Arabidopsis thaliana: one gene and its partner. The protein of the gene in region 1 interacts with the protein of each later gene in a pairwise test. Each region holds a gene or a part of one and is shown in the gene's direction. Other genes may lie near its edges. The genes, in order: AT5G56220 and AT2G42490.

Evidence for each region.
Region 2: the proteins of AT5G56220 (region 1) and AT2G42490 interact in a two-hybrid assay, tested with the Arabidopsis thaliana proteins (one large-scale study listed by BioGRID).

Annotation. Positions count from the first base shown.
Region 1 is NC_003076.8:22,751,576-22,759,921, forward strand, and holds AT5G56220 (P-loop containing nucleoside triphosphate hydrolases superfamily protein), read left to right. Parts: upstream 1-2,397; 5' UTR 2,398-2,741; exon of another isoform or gene 2,742-2,915; 5' UTR 2,916-3,295; coding exon 3,296-6,217; 3' UTR 6,218-6,482; downstream 6,483-8,346. Other genes in the region: WIP2 (WPP domain interacting protein 2), read right to left, coding at 1-788; PRA1.G2 (prenylated RAB acceptor 1.G2), read right to left, coding at 7,193-7,753.
Region 2 is NC_003071.7:17,689,530-17,698,835, reverse strand, and holds AT2G42490 (Copper amine oxidase family protein), read left to right. Parts: upstream 1-2,812; 5' UTR 2,813-3,309; coding exon 3,310-3,514; intron 3,515-3,726; coding exon 3,727-3,836; intron 3,837-3,919; coding exon 3,920-4,225; intron 4,226-4,322; coding exon 4,323-4,435; intron 4,436-4,515; coding exon 4,516-4,846; intron 4,847-4,929; coding exon 4,930-5,145; intron 5,146-5,219; coding exon 5,220-5,456; intron 5,457-5,719; coding exon 5,720-5,905; intron 5,906-6,094; coding exon 6,095-6,235; intron 6,236-6,566; coding exon 6,567-6,835; intron 6,836-6,928; coding exon 6,929-7,010; intron 7,011-7,101; coding exon 7,102-7,236; 3' UTR 7,237-7,429; downstream 7,430-9,306. Other genes in the region: PP2A-3 (protein phosphatase 2A-3), read left to right, coding at 2-193, 293-382, 471-578, 672-737; AT2G42480 (MATH domain/coiled-coil protein), read left to right, coding at 8,985-9,085, 9,199-9,306.

The DNA of each region.
Region 1 (8,346 bases):
TTGATTTGAGACTCTTCAACACAGTCTCCTTGTGAATAGTCTTCTGTTTCTTCTTCTTCTTCTTCCACGTTATCCTTTCTCTTCGAAGTATGTGCGTCATGATCACTATTTTCATCGTCATAATCCATCATTCTTCTTCCGCCTTGTTCTCTGCTACTCAAACTATAGGAAGCACCCTGCATAAACACAAAGTTGGAGCTTCTTGAGTCAGCAGATTCCATGCTGGAATGAGAGTTTTCCTTCTCAATTTTGATCCTTTCTCCTCTAAGTTTATTACTCTTCTCTACACTACTCTTCCTTTGTTGACTACTATCCCCCGAACTAATCACACTCTTCCCACCCGAGACCTTTCCTCTATGTTTGTCCCAAGAATGACTCATTGTACTACTCCGATCCTCACTGTTATCCGAATCAACACCAGCTGCAAAAGCAAGACCATTGCCATAACTCTCCCCACCCATTACAAAACCAACCACACTATTCACCGAGCCAACAGAACCAACACTATCTTGTCTAACTTCAGGTCCTGGCAAATGCATTTGTTTAGCATTCGGATCAACTAATCCTGACAACACCCTCTTCAGAGCTTTACTATTCTCCATACTCACAGAAGTATCATCCTTAACAAGATCTCTCCTTAACCTCCTCTTCCATTTTCTTAAACCAAATCCTTTTGATATAAGAGGAGAAGTCTCAACCGGTGAATTCAACTCTTTATCAAGATCACCAATCAAACCATTATTATCTTCAACAGATTCAAGAACAGAGCTTTCACTCTCCAAATCCATGACGACGCCACAAAAATACTAACTTTTCACATGGGATCAATCTCAAGACTAAACAACCACCATTCCAGTAAGAACCAGAGGCAAATTCAATAAAACCAAAATACGAAAACAAAAATGAAGCAATAGGGTTCTCTAAATTCAACTCAATTCCCAGATTAATCACATTTACGAAAGCCAATGAATCGAAAGTTTCGAGCTTGACGTACCTAATAAAATGGAACGCAAAACCACTCAAAGGTGAATCCTTTACGAAGAGACCGAAACGAAATTAGAAGACGATTTAAACGATTCGCAGAGATCTCTCTCTATATCCGTTGATTGTGGAAAGTTTCGTTGCGAAAAATCGTTTTTTTTTTCCCGGTTACGATCAAAAAACATTTTGATTCGTTTCCTTTTTTTTGTAATAGAGAAATACGAACGTGTGAGCGACATGGTCGGGACACGTGGCGAAACCGCTGGATACTTCAGCAACTACTCGGATATTTTATGACCGTTCGATTCGACGTGATCTTATCTGGTCGGATCTGGAATTCAACGGTGTGTGATATACCGTTAGGACTTTAATATGATCTCGACTATTTTACTAATTTACCCTCGTCTTTCTAACTTCTTCAGTTTTGACGTTTACATCTTTTCTATATACAGTGGTTGCCGTTTTTAGGTATGGAAACAACGAGACTTATCCTTGAGCGTTTGATAAACGCTTCCACATCGTTTGATAACGAGACTTTTCTACATACAGTATCAATCTTGTTTTGTTCATACGTCACACACTCCAAGATTTTGATGGTAAATTTTTTGTTTTTGTGTGTGTGTGTGTGTAATGTGTATGTTTTTAAAGTCCCTTATGATTGTAGATAAATGTGAAAATGTGTGGGGTAAATAAATAAAAAGTCACAAGTGGACTGGTCTTGGACCAATTCCCACTGTGAAATCAGATTTCAAATGTTGTGTCAGTGTACACATACATACATGCACCACCTTGAATTAAAAAAAAAAGATAATTACTCGATTATGAGGAGTTTATCTTACAAATTACAATATACTAAAATGTTATTGATAAGAAAAATTGTCAAATACTACTAGGTTACTACTTATGTTATGTTAGTACTATTGTTAGAAATTTAGTTCATAATCACATAGTGGAAGGAATTTCACTTACTTAGAACCCAAAATATGTTTTACGTAAAATATTCTCTTGACATTTTTCTCCTATTAATTGCAGCAATGATAGTATTATATGATTCAATACTCAATATAGTACAATGTTTGGAGTTTTCTATAGACCACAAAATACAAACAGTAAATGACAAACAACCAAAGTACTAAGAAAATTGAAAATGGTTCCCTTTCTTCAATCCTACAACCTCTTTTAAGCTCAAAGTTCAATGTCTTAAATCTGACTCTTGTCTATTTAACTCTCTTAAATCCAATGTAACCCATGTTATATTTATACTTCTCTAATAACTCGATCTTAAATAAAAACTGGAGTCTTCTTGGTAAACTAAAGAAGAAAAAAAAACTCATTAAAAATTTCCAGAAAATGCAGAGGAGGTTGAGAGAAGAGAGAGAGGAGAGCTAAAAACAAATGACATAAAGGAGAATCCAAGATTATAAATTTAAGTTAATTATAAAATGGTTTTTGATTAAGTGGGTGATCATTATAAAATGACATTGGTACATGTTTAGACATTAACCATCTCCAGGCTGCTTCTCTCTTAACCATTTCTTTAATCACTATTTTAAAAACAAATTAATGTCCATAAGCACTTTCAGATCCAACTCACAACTCCAGATTCTTCTCCCTCTTCATTATCACAATCTTCTGCTCTTCCTCAAAAAGAAACACAGAGAGAAAGATAGACGAGAGAGACAGGCTTGGTAATGAAAAGATATGCAGGGGAAGTGACACGTCTTTTTTTGCCTTGTGTCTGAAAAAGATCAAACAAAAGGGTAAGTCTTTAAGAAATCATCTTTAAAGATTTGACTAATATGTTGCTTTTTCATTGTTGGTCCTAGCTAGAGAGTAAAAAGATTCAATCTTGTTAATGATGATGAACATTAGACCACAAACTCAATGTAAAGCAATGATTTTTCTTCTGACCCGTGACCTCTCCATTGTTGCAGAGACTCTCTGAAACTGGCTTGGTGTTGTTGGTCAAATCTGAAGTAAGAGGAGGAGGAGAAATTAAATAAAGAAAAGAAGAAAACACAAATTGGGTTTCAACAGTGTTGTAGAAGAGGGACCCCACAAAATGGAAGAGTTAGATACATCACATGCAGTTTCTCAGATTTTACCTCAATCTCATTGAACTGCATCAACTGTTGCATTCATGTTCTGACTCATCTCCTCTCAGTCCCACTCACTTCAATATCATCTGTCAGAGAAACACCATTATGAGATTCATTACCAAGTTAGAGAGATAAAGACATAACCTTTTGAAGCTGAGAGGTGAGAGCTTTCATTTGAGTTTAATTTGTGTTTGGTGAAAGAAGTAAAAGGAGTAATGAAGGGAATAGAAGAAGAAGCAAGTTTAGTTGGTTTAACCATAAGAACTTCATCACCAGCAAGCTCTTCAAGTAAGAAAGGTAAAGAAGATCTTCTTCAAGCAAATAATAATGCTTCAGATTCATCTCCAAGTATCAAAAACTCTCCTTTCTATTCACCTTCTCTTGTGTCCCCACCATCTTCTGCTTTTGTTTCCGCTTTGCAATCTCCTTATATATCCCCAAGAGCTACAACACCCTCCATTACCACTCACAAGCCATCACCGCCTCTTTCTTACAAAGGCTCACAATCTGATGATGTACCAAGCAGCTCCTACACTCCTCCTTCTGACCAGTACGAGTTTTCTGATGAACAACCATCAGATCGGAAGCTCAAGTTATCAGCATCTTGTACTCCAGATCCTGCTCCTCCAAGGATCTCTTTCTCTTTCCCTGTTCCTAGGGTTTCTTTGGCTAAAGTCTCTGTTTCTTCACCTGCAACTAACACCAAGCTCAGGAGCTCTGATGTCTTCATAGGGTTTCATGGACAAAACCCAAACTTGGTGAGATTCTGCAAATGGTTAAAGTCAGAGCTTGAGCTTCAGGGAATCGCTTGTTTCGTTGCTGACAGAGCTAAGTATTCGGACACACAGAGTCATGAGATCGCCGACAGAGTTATCTGTTCTGTTACTTATGGGATTGTGGTTGTCTCTTGTTCCAGCTTGCTCAACTACCTTAGCTTGGAGGAAGTTAGGTTCTTTGCTCAAAAGAAGAACTTGATTCCTATTTTCTATGGAACTGGTCCTTCTGAGATTATGGGTCTTCTCAACTGCAATGCCATAGATAAAGAGTGTAAAGAAGCCATTGATGGGTTGATTAAGTCTCATGAGTTTAAACTAGAAGCTAATGAGAGTAACTGGAGAAGCTGTGTGGGAAAGACTGCGACGATTCTCAGGGCAAAGCTTGGGAGGAAGAGTGTGGCTGATAAAGAGATTGTGGAAGGGATTGATGAGCTTCCATTTCCGAGGAACAGATCTTTTCTTGGAAGAGAAAAGGAGATCATTGAAATGGAGATGGCTTTATTTGGTAATGGAGAGTATCTTGAGTCTACAACACCAAGTACCAGAGGAGAAGCAAGTGGACAATCTGAAGGACTTGCAGATGAGGAATCAGATGTTGTACCAACTCGAAATGGGAAGTTTATTAGCTTGGAGCTTGGAAGATGCTCAGATTCAAGAAGTGAGGCTTGGAGTGATCCAAATGGTGGGAAAAACTCTCTTAAAAGATTGTTGAAGACTAAGAAGTGTAGAAACAATAGTAACTGCAAAAGTAGCACAAGTGTTGTTTGTGTAAATGGAGTTCCAGGGATTGGGAAGACAGAGTTAGCTCTTGAATTCGCTTACAGGTATTCTCAGAGGTATAAGATGGTTTTGTGGGTCGGAGGGGAAGCTCGATACTTTAGACAGAACCTGTTAAATCTGTCATTCAGCTTGGGGCTTGATGTTAGTGCAGATGCTGAGAAGGATAGAGGTAGACTAAGGAGCTTTGATGAACAAGAGTTTGAAGCTTTCAAGAGAATAAAGCGTGAGTTATTCAGAGACATGCCTTATCTGTTGATCATTGATAATCTTGAGATAGAGAAGGATTGGTGGGAAGGGAAAGATCTAAATGATTTGATTCCGAGGAACACCGGAGGAACACATGTTTTGATCACTACTAGACTTCCTAAAGTCATGACCTTTGACACTGTGCAGCTTTCTATATTGCCTTCGTCTGATGCAATGGTGTTACTGAGAGGAAGAAGAAAGAAAGATTACCCGGTGGAGGAGGTGGAGGTCCTCAAGCTTTTCGATGAGAAATTGGGAAGGTTGAGCTATGGTCTTTGGGTGGTTGGATCATTGCTTTCAGAGCTTGCAATTCTGCCTTCTGCTCTCTTTGAAGCTGTAAACAAAGTTCAAATCGAAGAACGTTCGGCCTCGCCTTTTCTGAACTTAAATGATGAGCAATACTGCAAGTCCAATCCATTTGTTGCAAAGGTTTTAGCTTTCAGTTTGGCTGTTTTGGAGCAAGCTGAGGGAAACAGAAACCTTCTCTCATTGAAAATGCTACTCGTGGGAGCTTGGTTTGCTCCTGTCCCTATACCGGTTAACTTATTAGCTGCAGCTGCTAAGAACATGCCCACAGGTGGAAACCGGTTCAGCAAATGGAACAAGTGTCTGAGTCACACATTTGCTTGGTGTGGTGGTTGTGGTTTAGGACGCAGAAGCGAAGAGGATGCTGCTTTTTTACTAGTCAGATTAGGACTAGCGAGGTTAACAAATAGACAACCTGGATGTTGGATTCAGTTCCATCCGATAACTCAAACTTTCGCGAGGAGACGAGACTACATCCTTGCACCAAAGGCAACAGTTCAAGGCGTGAGGAAAATCGATAACCCGTTGTTGAATCTTGATCACCTATGGGCTTCAGCTTTCTTAGTATTCGGATTCAAATCAGAACCTCCTTTGGTTCAACTACAAGCCATGGATATGGTACTTTACATCAAGAGAACAGCTCTTCCTTTAGCAATCACAGCTTTCACAACCTTCTCAAGGTGCAACTCCGCGCTGGAGCTCCTAAAAGTATGCACCAACGTGTTAGAGGAAGTGGAGAAATCATTTGTGTCTCAGATACAAGATTGGCGCCAAGGCTCGCTCTGTTGGAAGAAGAAGACTAACAAGAAAGTCGATGAATACGTGTGGCAGGATGTTACATTGTTGAAAGCTTTATTGCTGGAGACCAGAGCAAAGCTGCTGCTACGAGGCGGACATTTCGATAGTGGAGAGGAACTTTGCAGGACTTGTATCAGTATCAGGACAGTGATGCTTGGCCATAACCATGATCTCACTTTGGCTGCTCAAGAAACACTAGCAAAGTTAGTCAGAATGAGAAGCAAGATATGATGAAACCACACACAAAAACATTTCTCCTGGTTATTATTTCCACATTACTACTCTAAGCTCAGTTTTGTTGAAGACATCAAATCATGTAATGGCTATTTTTAACCTTTTTTAGAACAAATCTTATTCCTATGTACATTACCAACATCCTTATTGATCATTGTCTCTTTGTAAACGCATTGAATTCTCAAGCCAAAAAGCTCTAACCGATAAGTTAACCAATCAAACAAAAGAGATAACACAATCTCAGTAACAAACAGAATTGAAAAAGGACAAATACTCGTGTAAGAAGCTGGGACCAAAGACAAACACAGAAAAATAGGTATGGGCTTAAGTAAACATGCAATTTAATCAGTGTCTGGGTTTTGCCAACAAGTGTCACTCTCCCCTCTTCTGTTACTGGTCCCCGGAGTTCACTGCTCAGTTTTGTTTCCTTTTCAAAGGACTAAAAATTCTGACTTGTCATACAAATTGAGCTTAGGTTTTATCTGGTTTTGGTTAAACACAAAGTTAGTCAGAATCCAACAAAGCAAAAGCAGATTATTAAGGTATTGAATTGACAATCAAGAGAATATATGATCTCTTGAAGCTTTCAGATTTAGTATCTAATAACTAACAGTCAAACACTAAAAGCTGTGACTTTAAGATCAACAAGTTGGTCTCAAGCTTCACGACAAAACTGTCAAAGCTGTTGTGAGATATGTTTGCTTGAAGCAAGACTTGATACATTGTATCTGAAATCAGATGTAACATGTGAAGAAGAATGGATAGAGCAAGTTGATTCCTTCACTGTGAGACCAAATCAAACAAAAACTTATTCATTCTTCTCTTTTGAGTTCAATCCAACACAATATCAACACGAAAAATTACAATAAATCAAACAAATAAGTAAAAGAACTAAAATAATTGATGATAAAAAAAATTAAACTTATGTCACAAGCAATCAAGGAAAAGTAAATTTAGGGTAAGAACCAAATATCATCGGAGATTAGACCCGATCAAGCCTCCGTTAATAGCATCATCTTCCTCAAGGAAAAGCTCATCGGAGTTTCTAAAGACGGCGTGAATAATGCACAATAGCAAGCCAACGCTAACACCAACAGCTAAATTCACGGCGGAGTTAGTGAACCATATAGCCCAAACGGAAGCTAAGACTAGAAACAACAACACCGTACGATCACCGACTTGAAAGCTCCAGAGAATAAGTGGATCTTCTCTGAAAAAGTGAAAGATAAGCCACAAGGCGATGATTGCGCCAACGACGATTAAAGCGACGGGACTAGCTGTGATGAGAGCGAACGCTGCACACGTGGAGACGATGATAGTGTAGTTGACGAAAAAGTAGTTGAAATTCGTCTTTGATCGGAGGAGAAGAGAGGAAAAGCTCTCCGGGAGAGAGAAATCGCCGGAGAAGATGAGTTCTGACCAGGGACGGTGGCTAGAGATAGCGGTAGTGAGATTATGGATTGATCGTGAGACGACGTCGTTGGTAGGAAGCGGAATTGATATGTAGGTTATTGGAGGAGGAGAAGGAGTCATTCTCCCGGCGAGTTTTCCGATTTTGTTGACCGGTTTGACCCGACCCGAAATACAACCCCGTGCATATAGCTGGGGCTGGCTAATTAAAGAAAGGTGTTTCTAACGACTTTTTAAGTCAACCACCACATTATTCTTTTCACCAACCAATCAAATTTCAACACATAATAAATTATGTTACTTTAGAAGTTTAATTGATCTAACAAATTAAAATGTAAACACCAATAAACCCTAAACCTTTCAAATTGTAATTGGATTAAGTTAACCAATTCTATTTTTAAATTAGTTTGTGGATATTTTAATCGAGTTAAACCATATTGGTCTAAGGTTCAAGATTTTACCCTAACTTTTGACCTTTTGGTGGGGATAAAAGCCTAAAGTTACTCATCTCTCTTGCTTTATAGGATTGAGTCTTCTGCAATTAATGGAAGAAAAGGACTTTCTTACCATATAAAACATTGACAATAGCCAAAAGTTAAAGATAAACTATAAGTTTATAACTTTAGTTGGCATTAAAAGTCTGAAGTTACTTATCCTTCTACAGAGTGTTATTTTCAAGTGTTTGCTTTTTTTTTTGTAAACAGTAAACTACTACA
Region 2 (9,306 bases), on another chromosome or scaffold:
GGTTGAGTCAGAAATATTTTGCCTTCATGGTGGATTATCTCCATCTATCGAGACCCTTGACAACATAAGGAATTTTGATCGAGTTCAAGAAGTGCCCCATGAAGGGCCGATGTGTGACTTATTATGGTCTGACCCCGATGACCGATGTGGTTGGGGCATCTCTCCTCGGGGTGCCGGATATACATTTGGTCAGGTAATTACAAGTCTTACGTCTCAGAAACAGTCCTGATTCTCTCTGTTTTTAAAGCAAGTGTCGAATTGACTTTTCTCTTTTTTCATTTTGTTTCCATAGGATATATCTGAACAATTCAATCACACAAACAACTTAAAGCTGATCGCCCGAGCTCACCAGTTGGTTATGGATGGATACAACTGGGCTCACGTAATAATGAAACTATAAACCTTTCTTTGCATAGCTTTGCAAGGCTTAAGATTCTGAGCTCATTTTTACTGTCTTCCCTATCAAACAGGAGCAAAAAGTGGTTACTATTTTCAGTGCACCAAACTATTGTTACCGTTGTGGGAACATGGCCTCGATTCTTGAGGTCGACGACTGCAGGAACCACACCTTCATCCAGGTCTTTCCCCAAATCCCACATGTCTTGTCTGCTAATGAAACTAGTGTAGAAGAATGACCAAAGCTAACTTGAGTATATAAAATGTGAGTGCAGTTTGAACCAGCACCGAGGAGAGGAGAACCAGACGTCACCCGAAGGACTCCAGACTATTTCCTGTGATCACTGGACACAGACTCATCTCAATCAGCAGCTGCAGGCACCCACAAGTGAAAAGTCACAGTTGGCTAACTCTAGATTCTGGTCCTATGCATTGTGTTCAGGTTGCTCTGTTTAAAATTCAACTTAGTGCCCACCACCGGAATATAGTGTGTATTATAGGCGAAGAAGGCTTCTTATCTTCCTCTATAACCAAGAAAAGAAAAAAGATACCCATTATGAACATTGTTTTGTTGATGTTATTAGCTTCTTCTTCTTCTCCCTTCTGCATCAGAATGTGGTTTCATGTGAGAAATCTTCTAATTTTATTTCACGTTATTCGTTCTTGAACATCTCTGATTTTTGAATAGAACCTTGAAATTGTTATGTTTATTTGTTCTTCAAAGCTTGATATAATAACAATAGTCGCTGAACGCATCAGATCAGCCACTCAAAATGTTCGACTGTGAACCTTCTCTTGACTTGCAATCTAACGGCATTGAAGGCTTTGTTGTACTCATGGCTATTGCATTGAGAATGAGATAAATAAAGAACAACATTGAGACTCAGTGCAGACTGGAAGGAGCAAATTGATAGACCTCTAAATGAAGAGCTCAATGAGAAAGCTCCTGAGTTGGTGCTGAGCTGGATAGACAAGTGTTTTAATGTATAGAGTCGTAATCCAGTCTAAATACAAAGTAGCTGTGGGAAGTAGAAGGTTAAAGGTTGTTGTAAAGGGAACACATTCTACTTTCTCGGGACTTTTCTTTGGTCAATCAAGAATTGGTGCTTGTTTCTATCAGTAACTGAACAAAACCAGAGAGTATGAGTTTGATCTTTACCAAACGCAACAAGGCATACAAAGGCAAATCCATAGTAATGACAAAAGATATCTAAGAAATAATAAGATAAGTAATACATTTGCTTAACAACAAAGAACAATATAGTTCTTAGCCAAAAAACATAAAAAAACAATGAACAATATAGTTGAGAACAATGTGATAGACCAAAATCTTATGTATTCATTCATCAAAAGAGAACAGTTTATATTGGAATTCTAAACGTTTTGCCTACTATTGAAGGTTTCACAAGAAACAAAACAAACCAAAGACTAGAAAACAAAGTGTAATTCAATAGTCTACGTTAACATGACGTGTTTTCGCACCGAAGACAATAATATATAAACTGTGATGACAGAATATGGAGTCATGGACTATGTAAGGCTAAACTAGATTATGGAGTCATGGACGAATGAAGAGTTTTTAATTTCGTGAATTTCATAAATAATGTGAGCCTCGTAATACCACTAGTTGTAGACAGCGGTTCTTTGGTGGTCGATATTGCATGGATTATGCGGTCCACTCCACGATCTAATTATTACAACTATATACATATATTTATATATCATGCACTATATTTGTATTTTACAATCTTAAAACCATAACATATCAAAACACTTTGATTAGTAACTTTTGTAATTTTATAAGCTTCTTGTGATTTTTATGTGATAAAACATAAACGACACCAATTCGTTTTTTTTTGTTTTCATACATATTTTCTATAATATCTGTCAGGATCTAATAATTAATATACTGCTCTAAAAGTATATATCATATCAATTGTCTCCAAGTTTTGGTGAAACACCTCAAACTCAAGTTAATAAGACTATTTTGGTTGTATTCATGTTTTTTTTTTGGCTATGTTCCATTCTGCTTACTTCTTAAAACAATGTAGTGTCCAATAACAGCATAAACCTGATAAGAATAATAATTATGCGTGTAGAATTTTGGTGAAACACGTCAAACTTATTTAACAAAACATATATGTTTCATTTTTTTTTGGTTAATTTTTTCCCAATTTTTTTATTTTGAAATAAATTTTCGGATAGTGACATATAACCTTATGTAGTCTGTCAATTGTCATATTTTTCTATTTCCATCATCCTATATACTTTACCTTTGTTAAAACTCCTTAGATAAGAACTTCCAATATTTTCCTTACCTATATTTTAATTTCCAGTTTTATATATTTAGTACTTAAAAAATTCAAATGGAAAATATGTTTGACTCTAATTAGACACATATAATATATATTTCCAAATAGTAAATTACAAATTGAGAAACTCATGAACAATAGTGCATCCACGTCGTTATCCAAGTTGGATTTCTTTCTAAAACAAATAATTAGACCTTTAAAAAAAAATATAAATAGGTACTTGTTAAAAAGTAGGAGAGCCCACAAATAAGGCTTTGGCCGCTTCTGCTTGGACTCTCCAACAAAAATCAAACTCTTTAAAAAAACAAACAAATTGAAGAGCGATTATACGATCACGGAGAACTCAAGATCCGGTGACGAATCCAACTTCTTGTGACGGAGCTCAAGTCGAGAGAGAGAAGACTGTACTAGTAGTAGTAGCTGTGGATTTTTGTGTCATCATCGGAGATCGGAATCTTCTTCTTCTTCTTCTTCTTGGAGCTTCTAGAAGTGGAGAGAAGGGGGAAGATCAAGCGACGGATAGTGATAGGTTTTGCTGTATGTCAGTGGATTGTGTTGAAACTGATTTTGGTGGATTTGGAGAACTTGTGAACCCTATTCAATGGCCTCAGCTTCGAAAAAGACGTCGGCATGTCCTCACCACGGTGGCTCTCTTCCGCCTCCCAAACTCGTCTCCGCTGCTCCCGATACCGTTGCTGTATGGTCCGACGCTGACGATCAGCGAGCCTCTAAAGTTTCTTTGGAATCCGTTATCCGCCCTGTCGATTCGTTTCCTGATAATACTGCCAAGAAACCTGCCAACAAAGGTTTGATTTGATCGTTGATCGTCCTTCATTCTTCTGATGTTAGCTCGCGATTCGTTTGAATTACTTGACTTCTTGTTTACTGGAATTTGTTGATGATGGTTACTTTTTGTGAAATTGGTTCTTGTCTACTTGATGGCTTCTGATTGAGATCTAATTGTGATCACTATTGTGGTTTCTGTGAAGTTGATTTTCTGTTGTGATCACCAATGCAGGGATTTCTGTGATGCCAAGGACTGAAACCAAGCACCCATTGGATCCTCTTTCTGCTGCAGAAATATCAGTTGCTGTGGCGACTGTTCGCGCAGCTGGTGCCAATCCTGAGGTGCGCAAACTTACTTGATTCTTGACAAATGCAGAATGCTTGATAACATTGTCACTGAAACTGTTTTACTTTTTCTTTGGCAGGTTAGGGATGGCATGCGTTTCATTGAGGTGGCATCAGTGGAACCAGATAAACAAGTTGTGGCGCTCGCTGATGCTTACTTTTTCCCACCGTTCCAGCCATCACTACTTCCAAGAACTAAATCTGGACCTGTGATTCCGATGAAGCTCCCTCCAAGGCGAGCTAGACTTGTTGTTTACAACCAAAAGTCTAATGAGACAAGTGTATGGATTGTGGCATTGTCTGAAGTTCATGCTGTCACTCGGGGTGGACATCACAGGGGAAGAGTTGTTTCCTCACAAGTTATACCTGATGTTCAGCCACCCATGGTATGTTAAACTATGTTTTAAGGAATTGGATCTCTAAGTGACTTTTAGATGCTACCGTTGTTTGCCAGTCTCTAAGTTTAGATTCTTTTGATTTTAGGATGCGGCTGAATATGCTGAATGTGAAGCGATTGTCAAAGACTTCCCACCATTCATAGAGGCAATGAAGAGGAGAGGTATTGAAGACATGGATCTAGTGATGGTTGATCCCTGGTATGTTAACAACATCATCGTTTCTGTTGACAATTAAGGTGTACTTCTTCTCTGAGCCTACCTCTTAATGTATTGTGCAGGTGTGTGGGTTATCACAGTGAGGCTGACGCTCCTAGTCGTAGGCTTGCAAAGCCCCTTATATACTGTCGGACTGATAGTGATTCCCCTATGGAAAATGGATATGCTCGTCCAGTTGAGGGCATTTATGTACTTGTAGACATGCAAAACATGGTGGTGATTGAATTTGAAGACCGTAAGTTTGTGCCACTCCCCCCACCTGACCCTTTGAGGAATTATACCCCAGGTGAAAGTAGAGGGGGTGTTGATAGAAGTGATGTTAAGCCTCTCCAGATTATTCAGCCTGAAGGTCCAAGTTTTCGTGTAAGGGGTTACTTTGTCGAGTGGCAGAAGGTAGATTTCCAGTAATAGCCTACTTGAAACCAAGTGATTATGCTTAAGCTTATTTCTAAATTGGCTCAACATTTTGTTTACAGTGGAACTTTCGTATTGGATTCACTCCAAGGGAAGGTTTAGTCATACATTCGGTAGCATATGTTGATGGCAGTCGAGGTCGAAGGCCTGTTGCACACAGGCTAAGTTTTGTGGAAATGGTTGTGCCTTATGGCGATCCTAATGAGCCACATTACAGGAAAAATGCTTTTGATGCAGGGGAGGATGGTCTCGGGAAAAACGCACATTCGCTTAAGAAGGTTTGACATCAGTTTTTTTTTTGGTGTTCTTACCACTCAGATCTCAGTTTGTGTTTAACAATCGGTTTTTATAGGGGTGTGACTGTCTGGGATCTATCAAGTACTTCGATGCCCATTTCACAAATTTCACTGGAGGAGTTGAAACAATTGAGAACTGTGTTTGCTTGCATGAAGAAGATCATGGGATTTTGTGGAAACATCAGGACTGGAGAACAGGATTAGCCGAAGTGCGAAGATCTAGGAGACTAACTGTCTCTTTTCTATGTACTGTTGCCAACTACGAGTATGGGTTTTACTGGCACTTCTACCAGGTTAGTGGAATACGTGATTCTTCATTTCTTGAGTAAAGCAGATATTAGTCATATTTGCATCTAATTTCTATAGGGAAGACAAATGATGTGTCTCCGCATGAGAATAAATCCTGAGTTTAGTGGCACTTTGCTTGTGATTTTTCACTTGAGGACATTGATTTACAGTGCTGAATCCGAGTTTCATTTGTTTTCTGATTTGTAGTTTCATCTTTCTAGATATTTGAAGACCAATATCATTTTATGTCTTGAATGTCTTACTGTAGGATGGGAAAATCGAAGCTGAAGTAAAACTTACTGGTATCCTCAGTTTAGGAGCTCTGCAGCCAGGTGAAACTCGAAAGTACGGTACTACTATTGCTCCTGGGTTGTATGCACCAGTCCATCAACATTTCTTTATCGCTCGCATGGATATGTCTGTTGACTGTAAACCTGCTGAAGCTTTTAATCAGGTACCTTTTTATGATGCTGCTCTTCTTCTTGTTATTTACTTACATATGCGGATTATTTTCTCAGTATTTAGGAATGGCATTGGTAGCATATGAATTTTAGAAGTCCCTATAGTTCTTGAAAAAAAATCTTAGATACATGTTGTCAGCTGGTTTTGCTCAATAGTCAGCTTAATCCACTTTTATCTGTAGGTAGTTGAGGTAAATGTTAGAGTTGACGAGCGAGGTGAGAACAATGTCCACAACAATGCGTTTTATGCGGAAGAGAAGTTACTTAAATCTGAGGCAGTGGCGATGCGTGACTGTGACCCTCTTTCTGCTCGCCATTGGATTGTAAGCAAAAACCGTACCTTGCATGTTCTCGTCCATTTATTGCATGTTTAACTTTCACATTGTCAGTGCTCGTACCCGTCTCTGTAATATCCTTGTTTATATTTCTTTCATCCTTGACTATCTACTAGTCTCATCCTTGAGACTGGATTTGGGATAAGAGATCACCTGAGCATCCCTAAGTTTCAGTCATGTGTTTATATAGTCTCATACTTGAGTTCCTTTACCAAAAAATCATCTCAGAGTTTCATTGAATATGATTTGTAGCTGAAGTATAGATGGTATACTCACGCAAGATGTATATTCAACACAAATCATTGTAATGTGTTATCAGGTAAGGAACACAAGGACTGTAAACAGGACGGGCCAATTAACGGGATACAAACTTGTTCCGGGTTCAAATTGTTTGCCATTAGCTCGACCCGAGGCGAAGTTTCTAAGAAGAGCCGCTTTCCTGAAGCATAATCTCTGGGTTACCCGTTACGCCCCAGACGAGAAGTTTCCTGGAGGAGAATTCCCAAACCAAAACCCACGGGCTGGTGAAGGTCTTGCCACATGGGTGAAACAGAATCGCTCCTTGGAAGAATCTGACGTCGTTCTTTGGTCTGTATCCTTGTTTTACTTATCTGATTCAGTTAAAAACTACTACTTACCAAATTATGTGACTTTCAATGTGGAATTTTCATTTGTCACCAGGTACGTGTTTGGGATCACACATGTTCCTAGACTTGAAGATTGGCCGGTTATGCCCGTCGAACATATTGGTTTCACACTAATGGTAAGTTAAATCTTTGACTGTAACTTTCAATGGAAAAAAAACCTTACAAAGGATTGGTTAAAAAATGTTTTGGGTTTTGGGTAAAATACAGCCACATGGATTTTTCAACTGCTCACCGGCAGTAGATGTGCCACCGAATCCATGCGAATTGGAGACTAAGGAGAGTGAAGTCAAAGAGGTTGTAGCACCGAAAGCTCTTCAGACTGGTTTACTTTCAAAGCTTTGAAGAATATGAATATCATTTGTTTTCTTTCTTTGATCTCTTAAAAAATTGGAGGCGTTGCTGTTGGTTAAGAACAATTTCATATTTGAATCTTTTATTTTCGTGTTTGGTGTGTGTGTTTGCAAGACTAAAAAGACCTTTGTCATTGGAATATTTCTATTAAAATTTCATATTTGAATCTTTTATTTTCGTGTTTGGTGTGTGTGTTCTTCTATGAATTGCATTAGTTTCATACTTTGGAAAAGAGAAGCAAATAAATATAAACATTGGAAGAGAGGAGCAACATCTCTACTATTTTCATTTTATAAGCCAATCAGAGCGCTCCATGTCATACCCCATTCTCACCTTTTACGTGATTTCACACCCACTCTCACTAATCGCGTGTTGAGGGCGTGTCTACGTTTTCTGAGGGTTCTAACCCACCAAATGGCTTGTTTTGAAACACACTCGCTCTTTTTTAAAAAAGCCTCGAGTGCGTGATTTCAGTGTTTTTCTCCTTTAATTCCAATTCAAACCCAACCGAAATCAATTGAATTTTTCAAAACCATGTAAATCGAACCGAAATTAAAAACACAAACGACAAACTAGCAATTGTCACTTCCACAATTGATCCAACTCCGACGAACCAGATTGATAATTTTGATTCGATTCCACACAGATAACATATAGTCCAAACCAAATGCAATTCATATAGCCTAAAAATCTTAGCTAAAACCCAAAGAAAAACACTGGAGTTACCTGTTGCATAAGTAGCACTGCTCTTGCCCACATATATGTAGCAGAGACGAGATGGCTCCAAGTCCCATGGAGTCGCTCTTGCCACAAATCAATTCACAAATTAAGAAATTGAGCTCAGAAAATTTCAGAAGAATTCTCGATCATAACATTATGCGGTGGTGGTGGCTGTGAATAGCCGACAGAAGTTGCTACGGTGGGTCTCATAAGAAATTGATTCGGCATCGCCGCCGGTTTCACGGTCCACATAGTAACTCCGATTTGCTTGTGCGGATTTTATTAGCCCTTCTCTCTCCCTTTTTCGTGGTGATGGTGAATCCAGTCTCACATATGACATATCTACCGAAAAGAGAAAACAAGTGAAAAATGAAAAGAAGTCATTTGCCCACTTTGAAAACAATTATTGAAGTTTAAAGAATGGGCTATGGCCCAACAGAAAAAATAGAGGAAAAATTGGGAGGAATGAATCATTAAACGTGGGTTTAGGTGGGTCAAGACACAAACAACTAACCAATTAAGCCAACCAAACCATAATAGTTCATGTTCAAATGATTCATTGCTCCCATTTTTATGCGGGGTCAGCTGACCCACCTTTCTTCCACGGGTCTGCCCCCGCCACAACCAACAGACTTCTGAGAAGATTCTCCTTAATTAATTGAAAATGTAAAATTTATTTTAGTAGAAAAAGTATAATATTGTAGAATTTTTTTATTTTTTTTCATTAGTAGATAAAGTAAAATTTGTTTTTTACTTAGATATTAACGAAGAGAGGAATGATTATCTATTTCTTTATTTGGAGGAATGATTATTTTTAGTCTAATTAAGTATTGGTTTATCAATTATTTTATTTATTGATTTATTTGTCAGTTTTGTTTTTGAGCTAGGGTTTTGAGAAGGTTTTTCTTGTTCTATAAAAAGAGGACTTTTATGCGTGAAACTAACAAATAAATTTTCTCAGAAACTCATTCGTCTTTGCTCAAACTAACAAAAATCTACGAAAGCGTTTTTGGTCAGCTATGTGGAATCAAAAGCCGTGTTTTAGGTTTGAGATAGATAACTTCTCGGAGAAGAAAGATGTGATAGCGTCTAAGGCATTCGTGAGTGGAGGATGCGAATGGTAAATCGAGAAGAATTGGATATTTCATTAGCTTTGTTATTCAATTCTCTATTTATATTCAAGAATAACGTTTTATTGAAAAACTGATATTTCTTTGTTTTATATTCTTTCAGGTTCCTTTACCTCTATCCGAAGGGACAGAGTCTTAATGATGATCACATGTCTTTGTATCTGTCCGTTGCAAATAGTAAATCCTTGGGAAGTGGATGGAAACGGAGTGC